Linked DNA regions of Danio rerio. The protein of the gene in region 1 binds, or shares a complex with, the protein of each later gene. Links are inferred from orthologs where the notes say so. Each region holds a gene or a part of one and is shown on either strand. Other genes may lie near its edges. The genes, in order: prpf19, xab2 and ppie.

Region 1 (3,654 bases):
ATTGATTTTAGGCCTAATTGCCTTTTGGGATGATGTAAAAATGACACATTCAGATGTAACATCAGGATTTGATACAATCATGTACCTTATCTGAAGATATTGTTTATATAAATGTTAAATTGATCGAGTGTATATACATTTTAGTCAAAAGTTTAACATGAATTTGATCTTTTGGCGTGCGCACTACAAATGCAAAGAATCTCCCTTGCACTTTTAGATACTTATATGATATATCTTCGTGCATCAAAATCTACAAGCAGTAAAAATGCCTACCTGTTCCCAAAACAAACCATCTGGCAGAGTCTGTACCATAGACTGGAGAAACAAAATAATCCTGTACCACTTCACTGGGATTTTAGAATGATACGTCCAGTTATTTATGAAATAATTCAACAAAGCCTGCTTATTCTGTGTGCAATATGTGCAATTATACATGCATCATTCAACGTATGAAAAACTTTTCCATTTAATATTTGGTGATTGTTATAAAAGAATGATTATATTTTAGATTAACACAGTTTTTTTCTCTCTCTCTCTCTTTCAGGACGCCGTGATGCTGCACAGTTTTACACTGAGGCAGCAGTTGCAGACAACACGACAAGAGCTTTCTCATGCTCTCTACCAGCATGATGCAGCCTGCAGAGTCATTGCTCGTCTTACAAAAGAGGTCACTGCTGCCAGAGAAGGTAAGAGTGGCATGATTGCTTTCAGGATGAGATGTTGACTGGAATTGTGCCATCACTGACACATTGTTCTGCTTGCAGCTTTGGCTACCCTCAAACCCCAGGCTGGACTGGTCGCTCCACAGGCCGCTCCTGCTTCTCAGCCCGCTGCTGTGGTCAGTAATTTCTTTAGATATTCATAATGTAGCGTGAAAAAAAAAATCTTAATTCACTCATGAACCATAGGTACTTTGAGGTTTTTCAAATAGAAATGGCCACTATTTTTAATGTTATTAGACAGCAATTATAATAATTTTTAAGGTAAAATTTTGTAGCAAGAGTAAACCTTAAAAAACGGTTTTAGATTGTTATTTTTTTGCTTTTTTATTATTTTAGAAATGTGATATTTATAAAGTGTTTAAATGTTTTTGGTAACTGCCTTACCATTTTTATTGAATTTCATTAAATGTAAAAAAGAGGTTGACGATTTTAGATTTTTGAAAGTCGACTTTTATATTATCAAAGTTGAGTCAACTAGTAGCTTTTAGCGTCATCAAAAAAAAACATAAGATGCAAATGTTTTGCAACATGCCACAATTTGCGATTTATTTGCAGGACAGAATATGTTTCCATGCTGTTGGAACGCTCATAACGCGTTGCAAGAACAATGCAACATTACACCAATGACACCATTTTAGTGCAAAACAAATACACTGTCGACTCTTTCGTTATTAATGTAACATTAGCACCCGGACTAAATTTTACTGCGAAATAAATGCAGTTAACACATTGATCACTGCACATTCTAGTAAGAATGTAACAATAACAGATATTTTTGTGCAGAAATAATGCAGCACACAGATTCATGTGACGTTATACATAACGCAGAAAGGACAGGCTATAACATTAAGCCATATTACACTGTCGGAGTCCTAATCAGACTCATATTTTATAAATATTACATTATATTTAATGTATTTTATATTTTATCGCTATGATCATGCGCACTAGAAAGCTGCTCAAAATCCTGCTTAAGTCAGGCGTTTTTTGTGGTCACTGGCTCATTTTAGTTACAGAAGTCTGCTTGCTGTACATCTTCACCAGGTTCACCAATGTTGATGATGTTTACACCTACACAAGCTGTGAAGTTTATCACACCTTTGCGGCTGTGCACTTCACATTTTTTCACAGGTTTGTAGAGGGCAGCAGACAATCACATTACTTTTCAGGGTTGCTTAAACCTAACTGGCACCGATTTAAAGTTCAATACAAGTTCACGTGAATCTTTGACGCTGACATAAAAAATACAGTTAAAAAAATGTATTTTAAATAATCGGAGGGCAGTTTCATTCAGTGACAACATCCGTGCACTCGTGGTTCCACCTTAGTGTGTAAAGCTGCATGTAGTTCTGGTCAAACAACGTGATCTGCACAGTGAGACTAGTCGAAGTTTATCAAAAAGCATCACGGCAGAGCATTAAAGTCAACTAGTTGATTAGTCGACTAGTCAGTGCAACCTCTAATATATATATTAAAAAAAAATTTCTCAAGATTCTGAAAAAAAAATACTTTTAGATTATAATCTCTTTCAAAATGAAAGATGCAGGAAAAAAAAGTTATTTCATATAATGCAGGAATTTATTTCAAAAGTTGAGAATTAATTCTGAGATGAATTGTGAATCCGATATTTATTTATTTTATGGTTTTATGTTCAATTTTAAATGTAAAATAATTCAACCCCCTCATAGCCATAGTACAATGGAGTTAAATATATAATTTTCTGTTTTCATAGGGTGCTGGTGGTGAGGCCATGGAGGTCAGTGAACAGGTTGGAATGACTCCGGAGATCATACAGAAGGTTTGTGAATCCACAAGTATATTCAGCAGTGTTCTCATTGCTCACACATGTACAAAGGGATTCAAAGACTTTTTCTTACATTACAGCTTCAAGACAAGGCCACTGTTCTGACCACCGAGAGAAAGAAGGTAAACGTTTAATTAGCAGTTTGTGGTCACTGTTATTTGATGTGCTTTTCAATGTCTGTAACCTTTTACGTGTTTGTTTTTCAGAGAGGAAAGACCGTGCCAGAAGAGCTGGTCAGAGCAGAAGATCTCAGCAAGTATCGCCAAGTGGGATCCCATGCTGTGAGTATCCAATTTTACACAGTGTGTATGCGTGCATATTTTTGTTTAACATATGTTGTGTAGGCCTGATGTCCACAAAGGTTATATAAGCTGGATGTTTTTTTTCTATATCATAAGAAAACCGCTTCTAAAAAGTGCTACATTTGGTACATTTATTGTTAAAAAAGGTTTAGTTTTTTTCAGAGGTCAATATATTAGGCTCATTAAAAAAATCCATTATGTTTATTTAAGCTGATTTTATACCATTATGGTAGGATTAGTGCTCAAAAAATAAACTATGAAATCCAGCCTGAAATAGGATCAAAATCCAATTTTTTTTTTAAAACTCAAGAAATGATGAGATTGTATGCAGAAGATGACGTTCCGGACACAAAAAAACTCGCACTGAACACTTGCTAAAGGAGAAAAACCCCTAAAATGTCTATATTGCAACAGAAACCAAGCTGTTAAAAATATTCTTGTGCAATGCCCTATTTTTATTGTTATCCGACAACAATTATTGTCTGGAGGGACTTGAAATGTAGTATTTAATTTTAAAATTGTTAAATTTTCATCAAAACTAAATCCTTAAAAAAAAGTTTTAGATTTTTATCTTATGTATTCTCATTATTACTTTGTATTTTTATCTTCTGTATTTATTGCTTTCGATGACTTTTAATTGTTAGAATATTTTTATAATTATAGAAAAGTATTATTTTTTAAAATGTGGTAAACCTGATCTTTTTTTGCCATGATATAGCCATAAAAGCTGATATGGCAATAAATTCAAAATTCTCTCTTTCCATATGTCCTGGTAAAAAAAAATTGCCAAGTAAGCATAAAATTGTTCTAGAAATCCTGTTTTGAT
Region 2 (4,389 bases), on another chromosome or scaffold:
TTCCGAAGGCAAGACAGATCTGCCAGTGCCAAGCTGTGAGATCCTACCTTGATGACTGGGTTAAACAGCTTCCACTGACCCACGGCACACAGTATTTAGCTGTTCATGAAGGGCCGTATGTGTTTGTTTCGATGATCCATGGGGTTTGTTGCATGTTTTTCCCCGTGATGCTGTCAGGGCCGATACAGCAAAGTTGTTTGTGTGCAGTAAGCATTTTTGTCAGGAGAGCAGTACGAGAACTGGAGAATGGCGGATGTCGTCTTTTATCAGAAGTTTGTTCACATTTAGACACATCGCCGTGCTACTGTTTTTGCCTAAATCCATCCAGATTACCAGCAGGGCTAATGATTGAAATAGGCAGGGCAAGAGACCTGCTGCACTGAGTCTGCATTCAGACCTGGGGATTTATGGAAAAGTCCTCACCTCAAAGTGTTTATATAACACGATTATCTTTACAATAATATAAATTGTGGTTGTGTATTTTAAATTACAAATGACAAATGTAGCAGGGTATTAAATTACTGTTTATTTGTTTGCATTTTAACTTTGTAAACTATAAAATCATTAGTCTTCTCAAGGTTTGTGTCTCATTTTGTGAGCCAACTGACAACAGTTGTTCGCTCCCCTCTTTCTCCCCTGCTCTGCTGGCCACGCCCATTCCTGCCTCTGATCGCGGAGCTCCACGCCCATTATGATGCATTTTTGGAAAAATTCTGAGGCAGACCTGAACCGAAAGGAGTCATGACCCTTTAATCGTTACTGTGTTGTACACTGTTTGTCTTTGTTTACCAAATTGCTTAGCGTTATATTTATTTCTTATTGTGTACGTCTTGTACTTTATACTTGTATAATGTCCATTAAATATGATAATCAAAGACACGTGTCTAAGTATAAAACCACATTTTACTTCACATTTATATAATGTATGTTTACATTTTCTTAAATCAAAAATGTAGATTTATAATATTAATATATTATTAATTACTGGGCCGTGCTTCATGTAATTTAGTCATTTTATTTTTGATGTACAGTGAAACCGATGAATCCATGGTTAGGTAAGTGATGTTATAGAGTACACTGCTGTTATATTTGAAGAAGTACCCGACTTGCGTCCTCGGGTGTTCGTTCTTCCAAGTCTGAACTTCTAAGGACGCAAGTGAGTTACTTTGGATTTTTAGGTGAACTACCCCTTTAGTATTTGATGTATGCACGATTTTACATTCAATACAATTACGAGTACTTATATTTCACAACTGCTTTCATAAAAGATGCTTCAACAAAAACTATCTCAGTGGACTAATTCTTTAGATTAACAAACGATTCTTGCCTCCCAAAATCGTTTATTCAGGGTTTCTTCCATTAAAACGCCTTCAGACCGAGAAACACCTCTTTAACAGAAAAGCCTCCTGAGCCACCGTAGTGCAATGGGAGAAGTCAGCCAATAGGAATCGAGTACACTCAGAAAAGGCGGGGCTATTGTGCTCTACGATCCCCACACGTTGGGAAAGTGTTTGTATTTTTTGACAATAACACAAGTTTCTAGTTTTATAACGAGGATATATTCAGGCAAGGGAAAATGCCATCGCTAAGCGGAAAGGCGGACGTTTTATTCGTATGTATCTGAGCTATTTTTAAAGTCAGTTTTGTTAGTGTTCTCAATCTTTTCGTAGCTAGCTGTGATTAGCTCGCTAACTACAGCTGAATAAGATACACACAAGTATTTTTAATAATACTAATAAATTCCACATATGATTATTACCTGTCAAAATGAATTGTTGTGTCCTGTGCATTAATTCACCTCTCACATATAATAATAATTTATTTAAAGTGAATAACAGTAGTTAGCATAGGTTTACTTTAATTTTAAGTTATTATCATTGTTTAGTCAGTTACTAAGTGTCAGAAAATAACATTTAAAATTAACATTTTAAAAACCTGTACTAAATATTTCTGTTTCTTTCACCTAAATGTTACATTGAGGTAAAGTTTTTGTTTTCAATGAGGCGACATCATTGGCCCATGAACATTTCCTGTTGTCAAACTATTTCATAGCTGTAACAGGAGGCAATTCAATCATAACTTAATGTTAAAACAGCTATCATAACATTATTTATTAATATGTAAACCTTCTTGAAAGCTATGAAAATTAGAACCAACTGTTATCGTTTACGTCACTCAAAATTGTCTATATTCGCACATTCTGACTTTCTCCTTACAGTTTTTCCTCAGTAGCTTTGGTGCATTTCTCACAACACTATTTACATTTGAACACCAGTTAATACACATCTCAAAACAATTAGTACAAACTGCAAAACCTAAGATAACCTGCAAAAGCGTGTCACTTGCTCAAAATGGATAGTTCATTCCTCAAAAGCAAGTATTCACGTCAATGAAAGTGTCAGTATCATCAAAATGAGAAGTCTTGACACCATTGTTTATGAACAATATAGTCAAATGGCTTTGTCTTGTTTTCATTATGAATTATTAATTTTTTTCAATGCTAAATAGGCAGAATTTGGTGACACTTTCTGTAAATGCTCAAGACAGCAGTATATACTATTTGCACAGCCATTTGAAAACCAGTAAAGTTAGACAACACTGCATTTAGTGAGCTATCTGAGTACAAGACACTGAATATGTATGTTTCACATTTTTACTGCATTTGCTCTTTGCCATTCTAATTTATTCAAAGCATTGTGCAAAAGAATAAATACACCCTTATTTACAACAAACATAAACTTCCTTTGGATAGAGCTGTGCACAACTGTAAACAATATTGCACAACATATTTACCTGCAACATACACAGGTCTGTAAATCAGTCATGAAATTGTTCAATTTATAAGACATTTTCAGGAAAAAAAAAGATTTTACATTTTTTACAAAATTTGCTCGACAGATTTTGACAGCTAGTTCAACATTTGTGTATGTAATGACTCAAGTGATGAAATGAGGACTATTAGTTTAATATGGAATGACTATTCAGAATTCACAAGTTTAGTTAATTTTGACTGACATAAACAAATAATAATGTTATAAACAGCAGAGCATTGTATGAAAGCAATTGATGCATGTTCAAAAGCATTTGCAATTTGTTGGAGGGAATGAGAAACTGCTACTAGGATGTGCACAAATGACTAATTGTTTTGAGAAATGCATTACTTGTTGTGCAAATGTAAATAGTGTTGTGAGAAATGCACCAAAGCCACTGAGAAAAGCTGTAATAAAATATAAATAATATAACTTTAAAAAGTATAATGTGCAGATTATAAAGCAAAATCATATTAGCAACCCATGACTGTCAAATTACAACACTGTTCACAGTGAAAGAAATAGCTCTAATGTTGTTTTCAAGTCTTACTTGCAGGTGATCTCAGACCTAATATTTAAAGTAGCAGGGTAAGGGAGCATGTCACTTTCACTGTACGAATGTGCTATTAAAAAACAACTTTACCTCTATAAATGTTACTCACTAACTCAATAATCTAACGTTGGAGCTAGCTTTCATCAGTGTTCGTGAATCTTAATCACAGAGGCATGTTTGTTTTGCAGGAAGATGATGATTTGCCTTATGAGGAAGAAATCATCAGGAATCCATATTCAGTCAAGTGCTGGATGCGTTACATTGAGCACAAGCAAAGTGCACAGAAATCTGTGCTCAACATGATCTATGAAAGAGCTTTAAAGGAGTTGCCTGGCAGGTGCGTACATGTCATCATGTCATTTCCTTTTACACTGAAACCTGTGTGCTTTAAATCCTAAATATCTACATGGTTTCTTGCAGTTACAAATTGTGGTACAACTACCTGAGAGAGAGGAGAAAACAGGTGAAAGGAAAGTGCATCACGGATCCTGGATACGAGGAGGTGAACAACTGTCACGAGAGAGCGCTTGTGTTTATGCATAAGGTAAAGTTGATCTCTTAATTCTTACACAGGGTTTCTGTTAGTTGTAAAATGTGCTATATTTACATATTTTTGAATAAAGAGTGATGCACATGTTTTATGGCATAAGACTAGATCTGTGGCTGAAATCGCTTACTTACCTACTATATAGTTCGCTAAAAACAGTATGTGAGCCGAGTAATATGTCCAAATTCATAGTATTAAAAAAAAGTAGGTGAAAAGTAGGGCTGCTCGATTTTCGGAAAAATCATAATTACGATTATTTTGGTCATAATTGTGATCACGATTATTTAAAACGATTACTGTTGAAGTCAAAATTATTAGCGCTCCTGGGAATATGTTTTTTTTTTTTTTTAATAAATATTTCTCAAATGATGTTTAACAGAGCAAGGAAGTTTAACAGTATTTCCTATAATATTTTTTCTTCTAGGCTTATTTATTTTATTTTAGCTAGAATAAAAGCAGGTTTAAATATTTTGAAACCC
Region 3 (4,360 bases), on another chromosome or scaffold:
ATGCACAGTGTCAAGCCATACTAAATTTCTAACCGGCCAAAGAAATGCGCTATAGGTGAATTGAATAAACTAAATTGACTGTAGTGTATAAGTGTGAATGAGTGTTTTCCAGCACTGGGTTGCAGCTGGAAGGGCATCCACTGCGTAAAACATATGCTGGATAAGTTGGGGGTTCATTCACCTGTGGCGACCCCTAATTAATAATGGGGCGAAGCTGAAGAGAAAATTAATGAATGAAAAGCTGTTTTTACCTTATTTTGTGAATATGACGCTTATGTCTCTGATGCTCACACAGTGTGATGTACTCTGAAATACAAATGTGCAAAATAATCATTAAGTCGTCAAAAACAATATTTAAACAAATTTAGTAGAGAGCTTGTCAAATTACAAGTTGAGAAGAAGAGGTCCGCATTAGGAGCAAGTGATGATCTATCTGTCCATTACTGCTCCCGAGTTAGGCATAAATGGGCATTAAATGCTAATTCAATAGTTTACATGTGTCTGTTGCCTCATTACAAACATAAACAGCAAAGTGAATATAATTTACACTAAACCAACAAAAGATACAGTTCAACAGCAGATTAAACATATTCTATTTTTCCTGAATTTTATGTTTAGACAAGCTGTAAATAGATACTATCTAAAGCAGGTCGCACACCAGAAACTGCTCAGTGCCACGCATTTCAGAATTCTAAACAGAAGTTTCTATCAGGGTCTGTAGCGATCAAATATTCCTGAGGTAACTGTCAGTGTTATTCTCTGATTTGCTTATTTTTCTGTTTTTTTTTTTTTTTTTTACCCTGGATTTACATGAGAATGAGGTGTTTGAGGCTCACACAGTATGTTATTTCCATGCATTAAACTTATTATTAGGCCTATTCAATTATGCATATGTATATCCAGATTTTCTTTCAATGGCAACTTTAGTAATATCACAATAGAAACTTTATAAATCATGATAGTACTATTTAATTAACTGATTCACAAAAATGCAGTACCTTTGCGTTAAATATTGGACTGCTTTTCATGCCAATTCACAATAGTGATTAAATAATTAAACTCTTTTTTTATTTGTGATAGAAATGTACGTGTTGCATTAGTACAAGCAGAAAGCACAATTTAAAAATGTATATTTTAATTACAACTATGCACAAATATACATAACTGATATGTACATCACATTCAACCTATTTGCATTCATTAGTCTGTTTAAAAGACGGTTGTTAGAAGTGTGGGCAGCACAAATACAGGGAGAACATTCAAACTCCAAACTGACCCAGCTAAGGCTCAAACCAGCGACCTTTTTTCTCCACTGTGGCGCCCCCGAAGTACATAATGAATCCAGAGTGTCAAAATGTCAATCAGATTTTACTCCAGTTCACCAGAGGGCGACATACCAAACCTCAGTGGTGAAGAACACAGCCTGAAGTCAAAGGTTACACGCAAGATGGCGGCCAGCAAACGTGTTCTTTATGTTGGTAAGAAAACATAAAATTTATTAATTTAACTAACAAACGTTTTGCTCGTTCAGTTGGCTAGTTTAATCCTCTAGCCTCGTACATTTTTATCGACGCAGTACACGTTTTTAGTTGTATCCGGGAAAGCAGCAATTCATGAAATATGAGCAAGAGTTGAGCGCTCAGTCCGTTTAAAGTGACATATCGCACTAAGTGAAACGTTATTATTATTTTCTAGGTGGTCTTGCAGAGGAGGTGGATGAGAAAGTGCTGCACGCTGCGTTTATTCCTTTCGGTGACATTACAGATATTCAGATCCCGTTAGATTATGAGACAGGTGACAAATACACAGAAGTTACATTTACTTTACAACTTTACCATGTGAACGTACGACCGATTTTTACTACCACTTTAACATCCTGTCTTTACCAACAGAGAAACACAGAGGCTTTGCTTTTATCGAGTTCGAGCTGGCAGAGGTGAATATCATATACATCTACACTGAATTAAGTTAAAATAACGCGAAATGTGCATCATCAAAGTGACATTAACTTTGATGCTTTTTATGATTCACTTATTCAAACAGTGTTGCTACTTTATACACTGTACTGTTGTTTCTCTGCATTAGAAGCTTTGGTATCAATTTGTCACTTAATTAAAGTTCTGTCTTTTCCCCTCTAGGATTCAGCAGCTGCTATTGATAACATGGTGAGTTCATCGAATTTGAATTTACTGAATTCTGTGGATTTATAAAGTTCAACACTATCAGGATGTGCAGAGTGGAGGTTTTTATGCATTTGGTAATGTGTTTTTCAGAACGAGTCTGAGCTGTTTGGCAGAACCATCAGGGTGAACATCGCCAAACCCATGAGAATTAAAGAGGGCTCCTCTCGCCCAGGTGATGGAAAATTGATTGTGGTTGATTTTTCTGTTTAATGTCTTGACACATACTCACTGCCAACTTCTGATTTGTACTTTATAAATATATGCTGTTTACACCCATACCTAAAGCTGAGTTCATAAGAATATATATAAACAAAACTAAGCTAAAAGGTATTGATGCTGTAAACAAAAACATCAGAAAACATCTGTTACAATGATATAGCTCATTAAAATGTAGTTTGCTTTCAAATTTTCAGTTAAATTACATATAAGTTTGAATTATAAAAAGCAGGCTCTTTAGTGTTTTTGTCTTTACTCGTAGCAGTATGTGTTATTACTATTATTATACAGTTATTATTCTAAATAACAAATCAATCCTAAAAATGACTGGAAAACATGCAACAACTTGAGTGATATGCTAAGATGAAATGCTAAGATAACATCATCTTGTGTGCTTTCACCATCGTTGTTTCGGTTGAACAGAGAATAACAAACTTGCACGTGCAAAAGATGTCAAAAGTGAATGGCCCCTAACACCTTTATTCTGGGATTGCCACTCTAAATTAATACACTTGCATAAAGTAAATTATGCTGTTCTGCCTATAGTGTGGTCTGACGATGACTGGCTGAAGAAGTTCTCGGGGAAGAAAGCAGAGGAGAGTGAAGAGGCCGAGTCAGCTGCAGAATCAGCAAGTACAGAGACACAAGAGGTCCGAAAGTTACAGTATTGGTTTATTTATTTATTTTTTGGATGGTAAATAAAATAATAGTAATAACTTAACATTGTCATTTTGATTTTACTGTTTATATATGTATTTTTTTCAAAGTCTAATGCTCCATTTTAAATTAGTTTTATCATTATTACTCTATGATTAAGGTTGTCTGCGGGGTCTTAAAGTATTAAAAGTTGGTAAATTAATGTAGAGAAATTTAAGGCCCTTAAAAGTTATTAAATATTCTTAATTGCTGTTTTGCAAGGTATTACATTTTTTAATAATAATATATTTTATATTATTGTTGATTATGCAATGTATGGTTGTATGCCAAAGTTTGCCTGAATTAAATCTGCAAATATCAGGATGCTGTGTAGTTTATGAAATCCTACTAGATTTGACATCATGCAATTTTGTTTACTGCAGTAACCAAGACAACACCATTATTTCTGCAATTCTATTGGCGTCAATCTGCTGTATTAGATAAAATTAATTTTTATTCAGTATATGAATAGTGTTTTAGTTTTAGATTAGTTTCTTACATTAATATTCAGTAAATATTCTATAAGTTAAAATCTCGCCAGTGTTTCCAGTTGAAACCTAAAGTGGTTTCAAGGCCTTAAAATGTATTGAAAGAGTCTTAAAAAGGTCTTAAAAGGTGTTGAATTGCCCTCTGATGCCTGTAAATACTCTCTGATTGGCATTTTATGTTCCTGAACAGGGAGAACCTCCAGCAAAAAAAGGCAGAACCAATCCTCAAGTCTATATGGATATCAAGATTGGCAACAAACCTGCAGGCCGACTGCGCTTCCTTCTGCGAGCTGATGTTGTGCCTATGACTGCAGGTCAGACATATTTAACCATCTCCTGCGTGTGCTTAAAGTCAGCATGGAATAAAAATTCACCAAATTTTTTATATGTATATATTCATGGTGAACCTATTCTAGCTAAAGTAAAAATGCTAGAAAGTTGTCCATGGTGATTCATATAATGCAAATCTATTTATAAATGCAATGCCTTGAGAGCAGCAACAGCACTTACAAATCAACATAATGACATCTACTTTGCCTGTATAATAGAAATATAAAAATAATATATATATATATATATATATATATATATATATATATATATATATATATATATATATATATACACACATGATATTTTTTTAACTGACATTTTATGAATCATTAAGGACCACCATTTTAGTTGTCATCTGTGATGACCAAAGAGGGAGGAAAATAACAGCATTATCCTTTTAAACTCGGTCCTACTTCTATCCCATCAACATTGTAAAAACCTTTT

The links.
Region 2: prpf19 (region 1) and xab2 share a complex: the UniProt entries of both Homo sapiens proteins name them as parts of the XAB2 complex. The link is inferred for Danio rerio from reciprocal best matches to the Homo sapiens genes PRPF19 and XAB2.
Region 3: prpf19 (region 1) and ppie share a complex: the UniProt entries of both Homo sapiens proteins name them as parts of the XAB2 complex. The link is inferred for Danio rerio from reciprocal best matches to the Homo sapiens genes PRPF19 and PPIE.

What each region holds. Positions count from the first base shown.
Region 1 is NC_133189.1:18,665,310-18,668,963, forward strand, and holds part of prpf19 (pre-mRNA-processing factor 19), read left to right. Parts: intron 1-544; coding exon 545-686; intron 687-764; coding exon 765-838; intron 839-2,454; coding exon 2,455-2,520; intron 2,521-2,606; coding exon 2,607-2,648; intron 2,649-2,732; coding exon 2,733-2,807; intron 2,808-3,654. UniProt on the Homo sapiens protein: Ubiquitin-protein ligase which is a core component of several complexes mainly involved pre-mRNA splicing and DNA repair. Required for pre-mRNA splicing as component of the spliceosome.
Region 2 is NC_133178.1:55,854,077-55,858,465, forward strand, and holds the start of xab2 (pre-mRNA-splicing factor SYF1), read left to right. Parts: upstream 1-1,472; 5' UTR 1,473-1,576; coding exon 1,577-1,612; intron 1,613-3,551; coding exon 3,552-3,700; intron 3,701-3,783; coding exon 3,784-3,907; intron 3,908-4,389. UniProt on the Homo sapiens protein: Involved in pre-mRNA splicing as component of the spliceosome. Involved in transcription-coupled repair (TCR), transcription and pre-mRNA splicing.
Region 3 is NC_133192.1:26,693,068-26,697,427, reverse strand, and holds the start of ppie (peptidyl-prolyl cis-trans isomerase E), read left to right. Parts: upstream 1-1,431; 5' UTR 1,432-1,447; coding exon 1,448-1,478; intron 1,479-1,695; coding exon 1,696-1,794; intron 1,795-1,892; coding exon 1,893-1,936; intron 1,937-2,138; coding exon 2,139-2,165; intron 2,166-2,273; coding exon 2,274-2,355; intron 2,356-2,945; coding exon 2,946-3,049; intron 3,050-3,773; coding exon 3,774-3,897; intron 3,898-4,360. UniProt on the Homo sapiens protein: Involved in pre-mRNA splicing as component of the spliceosome. Combines RNA-binding and PPIase activities.